Linked DNA regions of Schizosaccharomyces pombe. The protein of the gene in region 3 interacts with the protein of the main gene of each other region in a biochemical or structural test. Each region holds a gene or a part of one and is shown on either strand. Other genes may lie near its edges. The genes, in order: act1, cdc3 and cdc12.

The links.
Region 1: the proteins of cdc12 (region 3) and act1 form a complex in vitro, tested with the Schizosaccharomyces pombe proteins (one study listed by BioGRID).
Region 2: the proteins of cdc12 (region 3) and cdc3 form a complex in vitro, tested with the Schizosaccharomyces pombe proteins (2 studies listed by BioGRID).

Annotation. Positions count from the first base shown.
Region 1 is NC_003423.3:1,474,985-1,478,962, forward strand, and holds act1 (actin Act1), read right to left. Parts: upstream 2,350-3,978; 5' UTR 2,293-2,349; coding exon 1,165-2,292; 3' UTR 501-1,164; downstream 1-500. Other genes in the region: spore wall alpha-1,3-glucan synthase Mok12, read right to left, coding at 3,120-3,978. UniProt on the Schizosaccharomyces pombe protein: Actins are highly conserved proteins that are involved in various types of cell motility and are ubiquitously expressed in all eukaryotic cells.
Region 2 is NC_003424.3:2,577,748-2,581,348, reverse strand, and holds cdc3 (profilin), read left to right. Parts: upstream 1-1,823; 5' UTR 1,824-1,870; coding exon 1,871-1,883; intron 1,884-1,932; coding exon 1,933-2,265; intron 2,266-2,321; coding exon 2,322-2,359; 3' UTR 2,360-2,393; downstream 2,394-3,601. Other genes in the region: tif303 (translation initiation factor eIF3c), read left to right, coding at 1-1,129; SPOM_SPAC4A8.14 (ribose-phosphate pyrophosphokinase), read right to left, coding at 3,577-3,601. UniProt on the Schizosaccharomyces pombe protein: Binds to actin and affects the structure of the cytoskeleton. At high concentrations, profilin prevents the polymerization of actin, whereas it enhances it at low concentrations. By binding to PIP2, it inhibits the formation of IP3 and DG.
Region 3 is NC_003424.3:281,312-290,015, reverse strand, and holds cdc12 (cytokinetic formin Cdc12), read right to left. Parts: upstream 6,673-8,704; 5' UTR 6,541-6,672; coding exon 1,015-6,540; 3' UTR 816-1,014; downstream 1-815. Other genes in the region: SPOM_SPAC1F5.03C (FAD-dependent oxidoreductase), read right to left, coding at 31-64; exocytic docking protein Mso1, read right to left, coding at 7,612-8,067. UniProt on the Schizosaccharomyces pombe protein: Plays a role in the cell cycle. Involved in cytokinesis. Component of the cell division ring. In the absence of profilin, caps the barbed end of actin filaments, thus preventing subunit addition and dissociation.

The DNA.
Region 1 (3,978 bases), on a different chromosome or scaffold from region 3:
TTTTTCATCAACATCATTTAACGTTCGTTTTAATGCGTCTATACTCTGTCACGAGTTCAGGCACCGGGTCTTGGCCATCCTTTTTCATACATGTTCTGCAAATTTCGATGGATCTTTTCTTTCCATGTTTCAGCAGCAACTTATTTTATTTAATATGGTTAACATTTTTCTCTTATTCTTTGAACAATGGTTTTAATATTATCATAATACTACAAAAAAAAATAATAATCTCTTGTAATAATATATGTTGACGAAACAATTCTAAATAAAGTCATAGGAATGTAATATCATTGGATTTGTTTATACAGAGAGGCGTCGTCAGTCCAAATTACTTTGTCACTATATATTAATCGCTCAACTATACAACTGGCTAATCGGGCTCCATCTCCTACAGCTTCATAATTCACTACTTCCTCTCTTTTTATATTTGAAGAACACTAATCATACCAATGTCTTACAATTTATAAGAATTTTACCTCAACTATACTATCCAACAATGATCATATACCATGTATGTATTAAATCTTTTTTTGACCTAATAAACTTTTGCTAATACTAATGTAAAACACATTCAACCATTTGGCTTCAAAGTTATACAAGTTCAGGTACCAATTAAATCAGTACTGAAGATGATACAACTCTACAGGACGAAAAGAAATGGCTGATGAAGTACATTGCACCACTTCCGCTTCTAACTATCTCGCAGTTACCACCTTGTACAAAATAAAATTCGTAAAAATTAACGGGAGTAAGTAAAATTCATTTACTACAGTTCTTTAATCGATAATCACAGCGATAAACATAACGAAAATATCGACAAAAATAATCGGCCGGACTCGAGAAGAAACATGTTAAAGAAAACGGGAAGTTATAAGCGAATGAAGTAACATCATAGGTATCTACTGGAAATATTTCTGTAACTTCAATATGTAAAAGGCTAGCTCTGCATTCGTCTATAATGAAAAAAAGAAAACAGAGCAAGAAAACGATAGTAATCAGAAAGTATATAAAACACTCCAATAATTGATACCCAAAGTTCCTCATGAGATGTTAAGAGCGGAAAAAGGTGGTTAAATAGGTAAAAAAAGATTGAAATTTATATATATCAGAAGAATCGATGTTATTCAAAAGTATGTAAAAAACGTTACAAAAAGTAAGAGGAGCTTAGAAGCACTTACGGTAAACGATACCAGGTCCGCTCTCATCATACTCTTGCTTGGAGATCCACATCTGTTGGAAAGTAGAAAGAGAAGCAAGAATGGATCCACCAATCCAGACAGAGTATTTACGCTCAGGAGGAGCAACAATCTTGACCTTCATGGAGCTAGGAGCAAGGGCTTGAATCTCCTTTTGCATACGATCGGCAATACCGGGATACATAGTGGTACCACCAGACATAACAACGTTACCGTACAAATCTTTACGAATATCAACATCACATTTCATGATAGAGTTGTAAGTAGCCTCATGAATACCGGCGTTTTCAAGACCCAAAGCTGAGGGTTGGAAAAGAGCTTCAGGGGCACGGAAACGCTCGTTTCCGATAGTGATAACTTGACCATCAGGAAGCTCATAAGATTTCTCAAGGGAGGAAGATTGAGCAGCAGTTTGAAGTTCTTGCTCAAAGTCCAAAGCGACGTAGCAAAGTTTCTCCTTGATGTCACGAACAATTTCACGTTCGGCGGTAGTAGAGAAAGTATAACCACGCTCCATGAGAATCTTCATAAGGTAGTCAGTCAAGTCACGACCGGCGAGATCAAGACGCATGATAGCATGAGGAAGAGCATAACCCTCATAAATGGGAACAGTGTGGGTAACACCATCACCAGAGTCCAAGACGATACCAGTGGTACGACCAGAGGCATACAAAGACAAAACAGCTTGAATAGCAACATAAAAGGCAGGTGCATTAAAGGTTTCGAAAATAATTTGAGTCATCTTCTCACGGTTGGATTTGGGGTTCAAAGGAGCCTCAGTCAACAAGCAAGGGTGCTCCTCAGGAGCAACACGAAGCTCGTTGTAGAAAGTGTGATGCCAAATCTTTTCCATATCATCCCAGTTGTTGACAATACCGTGCTCAATGGGGTACTTCAAGGTCAAAATACCACGCTTGCTTTGAGCTTCATCACCAACGTAGGAATCCTTTTGTCCCATACCTACCATAATACCATGGTGACGGGGTCTACCGACAATCGAGGGGAATACAGCTCTAGGGGCATCATCTCCAGCGAAACCGGCTTTGCACATACCAGAGCCATTATCAATAACCAACGCTGCGATTTCTTCTTCCATGGTCTTGTCTTTTGAGGGTTTTTTGGTTCGTTACAAAAAATGTAGTTGGTAAACGGTAAGTTATAACACGGCTGGCTGAGGTGGTATGAAGCCGTTGATTACATATAGATAAGATACACAGTTATACAGTGAAAATCTCTTATATATTTTAAAATATACATTTAAGTATAATGGGTGTTTAAATATGTATGAAATTGCTATATTTGAGCCACTTTTTTGATAAAGCCACACACAGCGTTAGCACTTCACGGCAGAATGCGCACGGAAGAAGACCGCGGAAACGGATAACATTGAGCAACCGGTTGTAGTACTGTAAGCGATATAGCAAATCCTTTAAAAGCTCTTATAAACATATAAGGAAATATAATTTCCGCGTTATTTAACTTGAAAAGCAAAAAACAAAAGAAAATGAAAGTTCACGATATCGAATATAAAAGAGATGGTCATAAAAATCTTATCAAAATTCACAGACAAATCTTCAAAGGTATTTCAAGTATTTGCAACTCGCGTGTCCCTATTTTATTAGTATTCATTCGACATTGTTATGATCAATAATTTAACACTAGCAAAAAAAAAGGTAATTTTTTTTTATCAAATGGCTATTAAATTACATCTAATTAAAAATTTCTCTTGATACAATGTATTATAGTTGGGTTGAATCGTATACTATAAAAATAATTAGTGATCAAAAGAATGAATATTAGTTTTAATCAAAGATAGATAAAAGTATAAGAATAATCATTAACATAAAAATTAAGATGTCATAAAATAAAAGAAAAATTCAGTAAAAACAACCCAAACACCGTCTCATTATCGTAGATCAAACACTAAAGAGCAAGCTGACTTTTACGATAGTGATAGAGCAATCCTCCAACAGCTACAAATTGACATATTAGTGCAATATAAAAGCAAGGTGATGCACAAGGTCCCGGTCCTTCGCTAGGATTCCATGCACCAAGATTTGGGAATACTCGATCACTTACAGGCAGAGAAGGTTTTGCGATCATAATTGTAATACAACTTATAACTTGCGCTAGCATCAACGTGAAAGCAACATGATCTCTCGCCAGGGTTTGCAGTAACATTACACCGACACCGACTCCCTGTATCCCGTCCCATAGAGCTAGCAAAAGCCATACTGACTTCGTCAGCAAGGCAGAAGCCTTACCAGCCCATGGTAAATTAATTCCGAGACCCGAGGATGACCAAAACTCTAAGCACCAGCGTGGACAAATGAGGCCCAATCCAAATATCACTGGAAACCAAACGTTATTAAGAGACAAAATCTTTATAACTGATAAGAGAACGGCCCAAACCACGATGAAGAAAATGAGTAAAAGAATGATTATGCTCCACAAAGGAGTGTTGCTAGTATTCCAGAAAAACCTCCAAGCCTGGCCATAAGGGACAGCAAGCCAGTAATTGATTAAAATTTGAGAGATAAAAAACCAAATTACAATATTTCGTTTTCCTAATGAACGATAAAACGCTGGAATGATAGAAGGAGCTTGGCGATAAAAAGCAGGTAAACCTGCGAATGTTACGTAGGAAAGCCCGAAGCAAATGAAAGAGGCGATAAGTCCCCCTGCAAAAATGCCAGGCCCCACATTTTGAGTCAAATCTTTCTTCGATAATAGATCTCCCCATGACCAGAGGATTGCAGACCAAATCTGTTGAATCCCATGT
Region 2 (3,601 bases), 2.3 Mb from region 3:
AATTACTCCTCGTGCCACGACTACGACTCCTGATATTTTAATCCATTCCCTATGTGTCTATCTTTATAATAATGGTGTCAGTTTACTTCGTACCCGTGCTATGCTGTGTCATATTTATCATGAAGCATTGCAAAATCGTTTTTACAAGGCTCGTGATATGTTACTTATGTCGCATTTACAAGATAGCGTGCATGCTGCCGACATTGCTACTCAAATTTTACACAATCGCACTATGGTTCAAATTGGTTTGTGTGCTTTCCGCAACGGTATGGTTCAAGAAACACAGTATGCTCTTCAAGACATCTCTACTACTGGTCGTGTAAAGGAACTCCTTGGACAAGGCATACAAGCACCAAAGTTTGGACAATTTACACCTGATCAGGATCGTTTGGATAAGCAGTTGGTTTTACCTTTCCATATGCACATAAATCTAGAACTGCTTGAATGTGTTTACTTGACTTGTTCTATGTTGATGGAGATTCCCGCAATGGCAGCTGCTAGCTCTACTGCTTCAGATTCTAGAAAGCGTGTAATCAGCCGACCCTTCCGTCGTATGCTTGAATACATTGATCGTCAGCTTTTCGTTGGTCCTCCTGAAAATACCCGCGAGTATATAATGCAAGCTTCGAAAGCATTGGCAGATGGTGAATGGCGTCGTTGTGAAGAATTTATTCATGCTATTAAGATTTGGAGCTTAATGCCTGATGCTGACAAAATTAAGCAAATGCTTAGTGAGAAGATTCGGGAAGAGGGACTACGTACATACTTATTAGCATATGCTGCTTTTTACGATTCTGTTTCTCTTGAATTTTTGGCTACGACATTTGATCTTCCTGTTCAGCGTGTTACTGTTATTGTTTCTCGGTTATTATCTAAACGTGAGATCCATGCTGCTCTTGATCAAGTTCACGGTGCCATCATTTTTGAACGTGTTGAGATTAACAAGCTGGAAAGCTTGACTGTTTCTCTTAGCGAGAAAACTGCACAATTGAATGAGGCAAATGAAAAGCTATATGAGCAGAAGACCCAACACACTAATCCTCAGGAGAACAGACGTCGTGATAAGGGTGGCTCGGTTAAAAGACGCAATGAACGCACCGAAAATCGGAATCGTTCAGACATGAATTAAAGTTGTTGTGCATCGGTGAAAAATAGGGCGATCTAATTTCAATAAAATGAATGACTATTTGTCTTTGAAGAAAGTATTTAACTATCAGGTGGTTTCCATAGATCAATAGACATCTGAGTTACTTCATAGTGGTTTTGTTACAAACGTTAATCGGAAATAATGTAGTTTACCGTTTGGTAATTATCTTCAATTGTAAAGATACTTTGCTTCGAAAGTCTGAATCTGTTGACCATTATACACGTTTACAGTAAGCTATTTCTGCAAGCTTTGTTCTTCAGTTTCATATGGTCGCCTTTTTTCCATCGACTGAAAACAGACATGATGTGTGTAATCGAATTTTTGGTCGCTAGTACGAGCTCAATCTATCGGTGTATGGTTTGAAGTTGTTTTCTTTAAAAAATCTATTACTGAACGAAGTATCTCTAATTGTGTTGTTGAACCTCTAAACAAGAGTTCTGAAATTCTATTGAATACTTCTGAAGTCGTATTAAGCATAACAATCCTTACACAATACATTCACACGATCTTGAATGGTAAACCTCTAACGAAGTCAACTGCGATAAGTTTCATATTATTTCTAAAAATGAGGGAAACTTTATAAGAATTTTTTTATCAATGTTAGAACGTCTTAGAGCACCTTAAATTGGTCATAGGTTTCAAACGCATGTAGAACGGGTAGCTGCTACTTTCCGTCACCCTACTACTACAAGTTTTCCTATCTCTAAACCCAGATTTGCAAAAATGTCTTGGCAAGGTTTGTATATCCTCTAGATATTATTACGAATAATATCTAACTTATTTAGCTTACGTTGATACTTCTTTGCTCGGTACTGGAAAAATCGATCGCGCTGCTATCGTCTCTCGTGCTGGTGACAGTGTTTGGGCTGCTTCTGCTGGATTCAATCTTTCTCCTCAGGAAATCCAAGGCCTTGCCGCTGGTTTCCAAGATCCACCTAGTATGTTTGGCACTGGTATCATTTTAGCCGGTCAAAAATACATCACTATTCGAGCTGAAGGACGTTCTATCTATGGTAAATTACAGAAAGAGGGCATTATTTGTGTAGCTACTAAGCTTTGCATTTTGGTTTCTCACTACCCTGAAACAACCCTTCCAGGAGAAGCCGCCAAGATTACTGGTAAGTTTTTCTCAGTTTACTATTCTTAATTAGCACAATTATTAACAACGCAATAGAGGCTTTAGCTGATTATCTTGTTGGTGTTGGGTATTAGATTTTGACATGACAATCAATATTACTGCTATTTCATTTAAATTATCAGATAAAAGTAGTTTTGGATCCTTTCTCATTTTTGAACAGGTTTCTGTTAGTAGGATGTATATCGTTTGTAGAAGATTGCCATGTGTAAATAACAAATGTTAAACTTTTTACTTTCCGTTTGCGAAATAATATTGCGTACAAATTAAAAGCAGTGCAAACATTTTAACTACTAACTTGAGCCAAATTACATTATATGTAAATAAACACAACAATATTTAGATATTTATCTTTTCGCAAAAAAGAGGGTTTGAATAGGAAGAAGTCAGTTCATTAAGTGGAGGGTAACGTGATAGATTTATCTACATAAGCAATTGCAAAAAATCAAGTACTACATATACTTATAAAAATTATTTTACAATGATCCATACACTAGACAAGCCAACAATCTTGACTGTGTAAAAATTCTTTGCAAAAAAAGTGCTCCCGGCGAGGATCGAACTCGCGATTTCCACGTAACACACCTCCTAAGGGGAGTATCATATAAGCATGAGGCCTTAACCAGCTTGGCCACGGGAGCTGTTGCTTGATTTGTAGCAAACTATATAGTATATATAGTGTGTTTCGCAAAGTTGAAAATATGACAAAAAAATAAAAACAAGTTGTAAACAAATGTATTGTTAAGAAGTTAAACGACATTTTCTTTTAATCTTTTGAGATTCTTTTTTTTTTTTTTTTTTTTTAATAAAACTTTGGTTTTTGATAGTTCATTTGAAGAAACTCAGCTTTTCTGAATTTAACAAATTATGTTTGCAATTTACTTACATTATTAAGTGTTTTGGTATATTAAAATGCCAATGAAAGAGTTGAACTGGCCTAATAAATTTTAAAGTAACTTCTAAATTGCTACCAATTTTTAATTATTATTTTTTTTAATATTTTTATGCATTAATAAAACGTGAAAACCCTCGAATTTAAAGAAGTCCCACAATACGGGCAACTATATTTGTTACAAAATAGTGCTACTTCTTAAATTAGGTAAATAATTAGCGTACAGATTTTTCTATTCATTGGTAGACATTCTTCACACCAAGGTAAGAAACAGTGATATTAAACAAAACGTTACTTTTTGATATCCTATAACTTTGACTCAAAACCAAGTCTTCTAGAGCAGCATATTGTAGTTAAAATAACTAATTAAATTAACATGATAAATAAAGTAGTACGAAAATTTTAGAACGCTTTCTTAAACAAGAAG
Region 3 (8,704 bases):
ATGAGTCCAGCTATTTTTAAAGTCACATACCACCGACAATTACAATGTTTCGAGAATTGCTCATTGTTATTTCTAAAACTCGGTTTAAATTTAAACCAAGTAATGTAGACTCTGAAATTTAATTATATACCAATAATTCCAATTTTCAAAGAAAGATTACGAATTTAAAATTTTCACAACGTTGGTGTTGGGTAGTTCGGTGGTCAAGATGTGCGCGCTAATCTTCTAAATCCGTTGAACTTAAAACCAATAGTGAGTGGTCAGCGCAAGTTGGTAGTTAAAGCGTTTAAAAAGCTCGTCGTCAATCTATTTCAATGAGCACTAGTTAAATTATAAAAAAAGATTAAGCACATAAACAATCTCAATAGTTAATAGTTATGCTATTTACTGAATTATACATGCTACTACTCGAGCGTAGACTAATTTTAGACTTCTCGAAAAACAACATGTGTATAAAAATAATTGAAATTTCATTTTGTAGAATGTTTGACTTAATGCATGCTCGTGTTCTACCATTCTACCAACGATACATCAATCAGAGTATGTTTCTCGAAAAGACAGTTCTGCAACAGCACAATGTATTTGCCTTAGAAAATGTAACAAGTTAATTACACCGAAAATATAATTGAGCAATATTTAAATAGTGAGTCTTCGCCAATGATTCGTCACTTTATAAAAGAAACGAAGAAACATTAGCACACATCGAATGATTTCTAAACGATTTTCATCTTAACATTAGTCCTATTTTACTTCAGATTGAAAAATTTTACAGAGTTCTACATCAATTTGCGCAACAGACATTATGATAAATAGAATAGGGATTTAAATCATTATATTTACATACTCATAAGAAGATTTTTAAAGAAATATGACAAAATGTCAAACGAGCCAGCTCTTTCTATTAAAAATGATGAACATGATACACACTTCAAAAAAAGGGCAATCTTCCAACTAAACTAACTTCCAAAATTAGAAAAAAAAATTATGCAATGGTAGAAAGATTGCATCATTAACCTATTTCTCATTCTCCTTAGGCGCCAATTTTCCAGATAATAAACCTGCAAGCATTTCTTGTGCTCGTTGTGGTGATTTGATAGGAGTACTTTGACTTAAGATTCGGTTATGATCCAAAATAGAAACGGAAGGCGATACTAATATTTTGTTGACGGGCGTTTCTTCAGAAGAATAAACCTTCTTACCTCCTACTGATTGAAGATGTCGTTCAGAGTTTTGTTTCAATTTTTCCAGACGTTCCATATATGAGGACTTATTGCTGCCGTCTGGTTTAGTAGCTTGTTGAAAATTCAAATCATTAGTTCCCGAAAATTTATTGCTTTTCAAAGGACTCATTTGCTGCAACATGCGTCGACGGCCACGGCTATTGTTTCTTCGTAAAATAGTGTTAATATCATTGTTACCAGGTTTAGCTCTGGCTGTTGAAATCGTAGTTGTAGTCGGAAAAGTTTCCTTCAAGTCATTGGTGGCATTTTCTAAGTTCCGAGAGACAGCGCTGGTATCTTCATTAAGTTCGGTGTTATTAGGAATCATGGGAGCAACCAGATTATTTTCGACACCACGAGGAAAAGTATTCTCCTTTTCGTTAGCATGTTTACTTGCCCTAGTACCATTTGAAATTGTCGGCGTAAGCAAATTAACTTTAGAAGCCTTTTGAGGAAATACTTTCTTCTCGTTTGAAATAGTATCAGATTTTAGAGATTCTTTAGACGGTTTATTCTGAGGGCTTGTCTGGTTATTGTTTATACCTTTATCCTTTCGAGCTTTACCCGTCTTCTTAGAATCCCGGTTTTGTGAACCTCTTCTTGATTTTGAACTAAACCTTCGAAATTTCTCACCATTAAAGGGTTTTTGCCTATTAGAATCTTCCAAACTGCTTGGATCAGAAAAAGTGTAAGAAGCGGAGCGACCCTTATTACTTTTATTCTTCGAATTTTTGTTAAGGACATAGCTATCAGATACCTGACGGCCCGAACGACGCTTTTCGTAGTTGTATCCCTTTTTAGCTTTGCTAGATACTTCTCCTTTTTTCGTTGGAGTAATATTTAATGCGTCAGATAATCCATCGGTTGATTCACTACCCTTAGGATACCTTGGCCTAACTTTTGCCAAGTCACTTTTTACCGAAGATCTCTTAGGAACAAATAATTCGTTTTTTGCAGGACTAGATTTAGTAGAAGTGTTAGGAGCTTCTATTAAATGTTCTTTACCCATAGTAATGGCGGATCTATTTCGTGGTTTATGGTGACTTTCTAATTTGACGTTTCTCAATTTATCAAGGAAACCATCCATTGCTTCATTATCCATTTTGTTATTTTCAGACATTGCACGTTCAAGCACGTGTTCTTTATGATTGTTGACAAGATTCAAACGTCTATGCTGTGAAGCTTCTTCTTCTTCCGATTTCAAGTTGTCAGATCTAGCCTTAGAGTAGTCAATTATGAAAGAATCAACACGTTTAAAGAACAGGTTCTTGGAATTAGGGTCATTAGGCTGTTCACCAAAATATCTCATAGCATTGTTCAGGGTAGTATTCATTGTACGTAAATGCTCTTTCAAAAAATCCATTTTTTTGGTGCCTTCCATTAACCAGGGTAATATAACTGAAAGGATTTTATCATCAGGATGAAATACCGTAGGGTCGGAAAGAGCCCCAGAATCACAGTCTATTTGTAAATTCTGACAACCACGAATTAACTCGGAGCACTCTTGTTCAATCGCTTCAATATTCAGTTTGGCTGCTTCAGTGACGGTTGATAGTTCAGGGGAAAAGTTGTCAAACTGAGGAAAATGCTTCCTAATAGTTATATCAAGTATATGAAGTAAACTTTTAGTGTTATTGGCATTTTTTATCAATGGAAGTCTTTGAAGTGAACCAATGGCAAATCCTTTAGCTTGGCGCACATAATCGTTCATATAGTTTCCTAAATATAGAATTAAATATAGCAAACCTTTAAAAACTTTGCTGTCCCGAAGCTCAAGAGCAGCCCGCCCTATAAGTTTTGTTTGACGAACAAGGTTCTCATAATTGGTTTCGATTATGTTTTTAACTTTTAGTGCATTCATTCTTTGGTTCCAATAACCCCCAAGATCAACTATAAGTCTCACATAAAGATAGTCCCAACGACTAAGCTCTGAAGCATCCTTTTCGCTATTAACTAGATCACCACCATTTGCCCAGTCAATACGATAAGGCTCCAAATCTGCTTTTAATTTAGGTTGATTTAGTACTTTGTCACTTGATAAAAATTCAACACACTCGTTCATGCTATCATCACAATGTAAAATCATGCGAATGATCTCATTCGGATTTTTGTGAGACAGCTTGTGAAAGTGAATACCAAAAAGCTTCTGAAGTTCACTACTCATGTAATCAGTTCTAGCACATGTTTTTTTGACCAATGTTTTTGCTTCCTTCATCGCAAAACTTTCATCTAATTCATCTAAGACCCCTGATGTATGCAAGGTTTCCAAAATTTTGTTGGCCTCGTCAGAAGGTCCCGTCCAAAATGTAAATTCCAGCCCAGAATTCAACTTCTCCCAATGCATTTGCTTCAAACGACGAGTTGGTCGACGAGTCAAACCAGTAGTCTTATGCAAATCATCTTTTGATATATTATTTGAAACAGCTGGGGATACGAATTTACCTCCAGCTGCACTTACTAAGGGAGGAGGAGGTGGTGGTGGTGGTGGAAAAGCAGGCATAACCCCAGCAACCGATGTATCATTAGCAACGATGTTCACAGAATCAGGATGGGAAAAGGTATTTAAACTAGTTTTAACAGGAAGAGGAGGAGGTGGTGGTGGAGTTGGATGTGTAATTATCGTTGGTAAAGAAGTTGCATCATTAGGAATATCAAAGTTCGTAATTTTACTATTGTTGCTAACTGTTTCTGCTTTGTTCTCAACGCTATTAATCTCATGCGTTTGATTTGAAATATCCTTTATTACGACGTTTGACTCAATACCCTTTCCCGGAATCTCCAAGTTCGCAAAGTCATCAATTCCTTTCATACTTTTGATGGACTCATCCTTTTCACTGGTTAACGATTCAGAAGCTGAACGACCAACATATCGATGTAAATGACGAGGGAATGGACGATGAAATTTTTTATCAGGAATTTGTAAAATAGTTGACACAGTTGAGGGCTGGCTGGACTGTCGAGACATTTGCTCCCTTAGATCCCGAAGTTTGTCATCAATTCCATCGTTTGACCAAAGTGTTGACTCTGCAGCAATTTCCTTTTTCCTCAAGTCAAGCTTATCCAACAAATATTCTATAATCCTTTCCTTGGAATTAGTTGAGCCCTGAAAAGAATCCGAATTGATAAGAAGATACAATTCTCGTAATTCCACTTCGCTCCTTTGGATTTGAGTAACATGAGACTTTTGGAGAGCATCAATTTCTGTTTTTAGAGTCTCATTCGTTCTTTTCTGAGAAAGAATAACGTCTTTCTGATCCTCTACTTCTTTGTTTAACTTCGCAATTAAGTCTTCGGCACCCAGATTTACTTGCGCAGCCATTGCATCTCTTTCAATAACCATTTTCTCAGCCATTGCACGTGACGCCTTTGCTTCCTTCAAAGCATTTCTGGCTGTGTCATCCGAATAGAATCTTTCGGTTAGCATATTTAAAGATGCCTGTAAACTATCTTCAAAACTTTCATTGGATACTTTTGAATTGAGCAGTATTCTTTGAAGTAAAGAGTTAAAAACCTTGATAAGTTTCACCTTTTGCTTTTCAGTACCTTTGGCAAGTAGTATGTTTTGAATAGTTGATTCAAGTAAACGGCCAACTTCATTTGATGCAAATTCATTGAAGCTACTTAAAATTGAGGATTCATTTGACATAAAGGAATCGACATCTTCATGCGTGGTCTGACTTATAGTCCTCCTCTCTTCTTCTGATTCATATATGTTTAGTTGTTTCTCAAGTTGTTGGTCAGGAAAGTTACGTAGAAGTTGTATAACTTCGTGTATACCTGATTCACGAAGGGAATCCAATATATCAAGGTCAAATCCTTGCTCCAATTCTTCGCAAGCAACAATTAGCTGATTGATAAATTCCATAGTGGAAGTACAATACTCAAGAAACGCTATGTTTGAAGGTGAGCTGGAAGCAGAATTTCGAGCAGGAGAAGATGGAGGGGTTCGTGCTAATTCTTTTTCCAAGATTATGTCTTTGAAAGATTTTATCCATCCAAAGAATAGCGGAACCTCCTTTTCATATTCGGCATTTATTTCTTTAAATCCAGTTTCCAATATGGAGACCACAAGAGGTTCCTTTAAAGACAGAACCCATGTCAATAAATCTGCGGCTACTTTCCTCGGAAGCAAATTTGGGGATATAAGGGTCACTGTTATTGCTTGAAATATATAAGAATTGGAAGTAACCAGAGTAGGTTTTTTCTTCAAAAGAGTAAGCATGCAACGAGGAACTTCAGCTTGCTGAGGCTGCACTACGGCAGACGAATTAAAATATGTAAGTAGATTATGCAAAGCTCGAAGTCCCTGCAGTTCAAGAAAAAGAGATATCCATCGATCGGATTGAGTTGATAATAAAGAAGAAAGTGTGATAAGTTGTAAATTACTAATTGTTTTATTCCATAGTTGGATTACGAACCAGGAAACAGGTCTATGGACGGCAGCTAATTCTGGAATTTGGAAAGAAGGATCATCAAACCCGGCGAAGTTAGAACGAATAAAACACCACTTTTCATCTGGAGTACAACTTTGAAGCATTTCAATGGCGTTTTCGTCAAAATCAAATACAGGGTGTCTTAAAAAATCGTTGAATAGATGTATTAGCTGATCCAATGAAGGTGGTCGAGTACTCGGAATTTCAAACTGAAACGAGCATACCGAATTAGGGCTCCCAGCTCGAATTGAACGTAGTCGATAAACTTGTTCATCATTAGTAGAAGTGAATTTTGGGGAAACCTCGTTGGTAATCTCAGGGACTTCAACAACAGGAGCAAGTTTATGCTTAGTTCGCCTTTTTGTCTTAGATACTGGAACTGAGGGAACAGGAGGTTTCGGCAAAGGATCAAAAGAGCGAGAATGTACAGGGGGTGTCACTGGAGCAATTTGGACATCCTCAGAACTTTTAATAATGTTTTTGGGCAACCTAGGACCCTTGAGATGTTTAGAAGTGTGCAAATGTTCAACGGAAGACGAAGATGGTAGATCAGTGACTTCAACTTTATTCGCTTTGGGTCGATGGACAGTAGATTTCTCGGGTGTTTTAGGTAAAGGAAGCTGGGAATTTTGCAAAGCATGTTTATTATGAGAATTGTACTCTTTCGATGAAAAGGTAAATTGCTTTACATACGGAGAAGTAACTGATTGGGACTTATTAGGCTGGATTAACGTCGATACTGATTCTATGGATGATGGAGGTTTATGGTACGTTGTTTTGGACTTAGGAGCCCTTGGCCCAATAGTTCTTCTGGCTGATGGAGTTGGAGTAGACAGAATAGAGTCATAAGAAAAATTAGGGTCCTGTCCCTTTGACGAATTTCGCATCTCTACTTCATAAACGAATGCAGCATTGTAATTGCTTTCAGGATCTTGTTTTCAAGTATTAACAAGGAAACTGTGATGAAAAGTTTTAGCTCAATTAAACCTTTTTTTTAAATTTGCTAAAAGTTGATGTTCAGAACTTGTTGACCTTCAAATTTGGATAAAGTGGAACACTTAGCGAGTAAGGGTTGGGATGGCTTAAATGATCTAAGATAATACGTATACTTGCGAACAAGTAAGTTGAAAGGAAATGAAACTTCGATATATCTAATATTATAATGGTTAAATTGCGTTATAGCGTATTAAATTTTATTTTTAGGATAATCGAAATTCTCGTCTTGTAAGTCTAGTCTGCATTTGGATGCGGTTTCTGGTTGCTTAAAACGTTGTTCAATGAGAAAATACATTCGTGAAGATCATTTTTACTTACAAAGCATTCGTAACATATTTTGTTGTCACGTTGAGCTAAATATAACCAGAAATTTGCAAATAAACGAGAATCACAAGAACGAATCCATTGGTGCTTTTATTTACATACCATATTAAATTACAATAACGAATTTTCACAATTCGTCCCTAAGTGTTCGAGTTAGAAATTAAAGAAACCTATACGATGCGCTGTATGTAACGATAAGTTTTTATAATGTTGAATTGATTTCAGCTACTAGCTTTAATTCTACCAAGCGCTTTTTGAACAGTTTAATTTTTAAAGCTACAATCCGGTTAGAAACATAAAGAACATGTGATGGTTATTTAATTAGACTAAATGATAGTTCTCAAACTAAAGGCGAGTTGCTTAGGATAGTGCACCTTATTGTCAGGTCATTCCAAAAATAATTACTAAAGGAAAAACCAGAAAAGGTGAGCTAACTCAAAGTTGTAAAATAAGTAATTATGCCTCTGTACTGACAAATGTCGAACTTCTGGGTAAGATGGGCTTAGTTATTAACAAACGAGGTTGAGAATAACACATACGTAGTAACAGCATTTTCAAAGAAACAAAAAGTCGTTTTGATCATTAATACGCCATTAACAGATACCAATGAGAGTAAAGTAAAGGTATCGTTGTGTCAACTAAAACTTCTTTCTAGTGTGATCAAATTTTGACCGTAGCAATGAGCCGGAAGGTGTAGAGGAAAGAGGTTTCGTGGTGGAAGGTGATTTTTGAAGACTTCCGACACCTTCAAACAAATCGTCAAAGGTACTATGTTGAACAGAAGGTAATCGTCGTAAAGGGGGAGACGAAGCAGAGGAAGTGGAGGACGATAGCCTCCTAGGATTGGCCGGAATATATGAAGCTTTTAAATTTGAAGGAGCCGCATTACTTGCATTTATGCTAACTGGGGAAGTAGGTCCTGTGTTAACTGGAGGCTGCCATCCAGGAGGACGAAGCCATTCAGGTAATGTCCCAATTTTGTCCATATAGTATTTTCTCATTACACGAGCAACGTGAGTATCTTCAATCGTATTATCGCTTTCAGGGTCGCGAATACGATTAATTTTTGAAGAAATCGATAACTTTGACCACATGATGAATCGAGAGTTCGCGTTTCTTTATGTACTACTTAATCTCTAAATTTTAAAGAACCTTGGCATTTGAATTCAAAAAATTTCAATAAAAGTAATTAATAAAAAAGTTTAGCCATTATTATGATGCCAAGAACGGCTTAATATCTGGCGACGCGGATTTCATAAAGACGCCAACTCGCTAAACTGTCTAAAGTGATTAATAACACGACCATGAACTACATTATATGTTTTAACGAATGTAAAATCAGCACATAAATAGATAATTTTATTGCAAATGTCCAATTGATTAATATCTTACAAATAAAAATAATTTGTGGGTGGATTTAAACATTTAATTTAGATACTCTCGAAGATGATGCATGAAATCGGCTAAAAAAAAGAATGAACGATGAAAAGCTTGGTAAACAAAATCAATACTGAGCAATCTTACTATGTAGTAGCTAATTAAGGTATACATAATTTCTAAATGGACTACGAAAATGTAGTTTTAAAATAGTTAGGTAAGTTTTAATTTTACTACTTGTAGTCTTCCAAAAATCATAAACTAGTATCTACAATAAAAATTTCTTTAAATTAAATATATGTCGGTGAAAAAGAGCCTCGCCCTTAATATGTATTCACTACGAAAACTAAATAA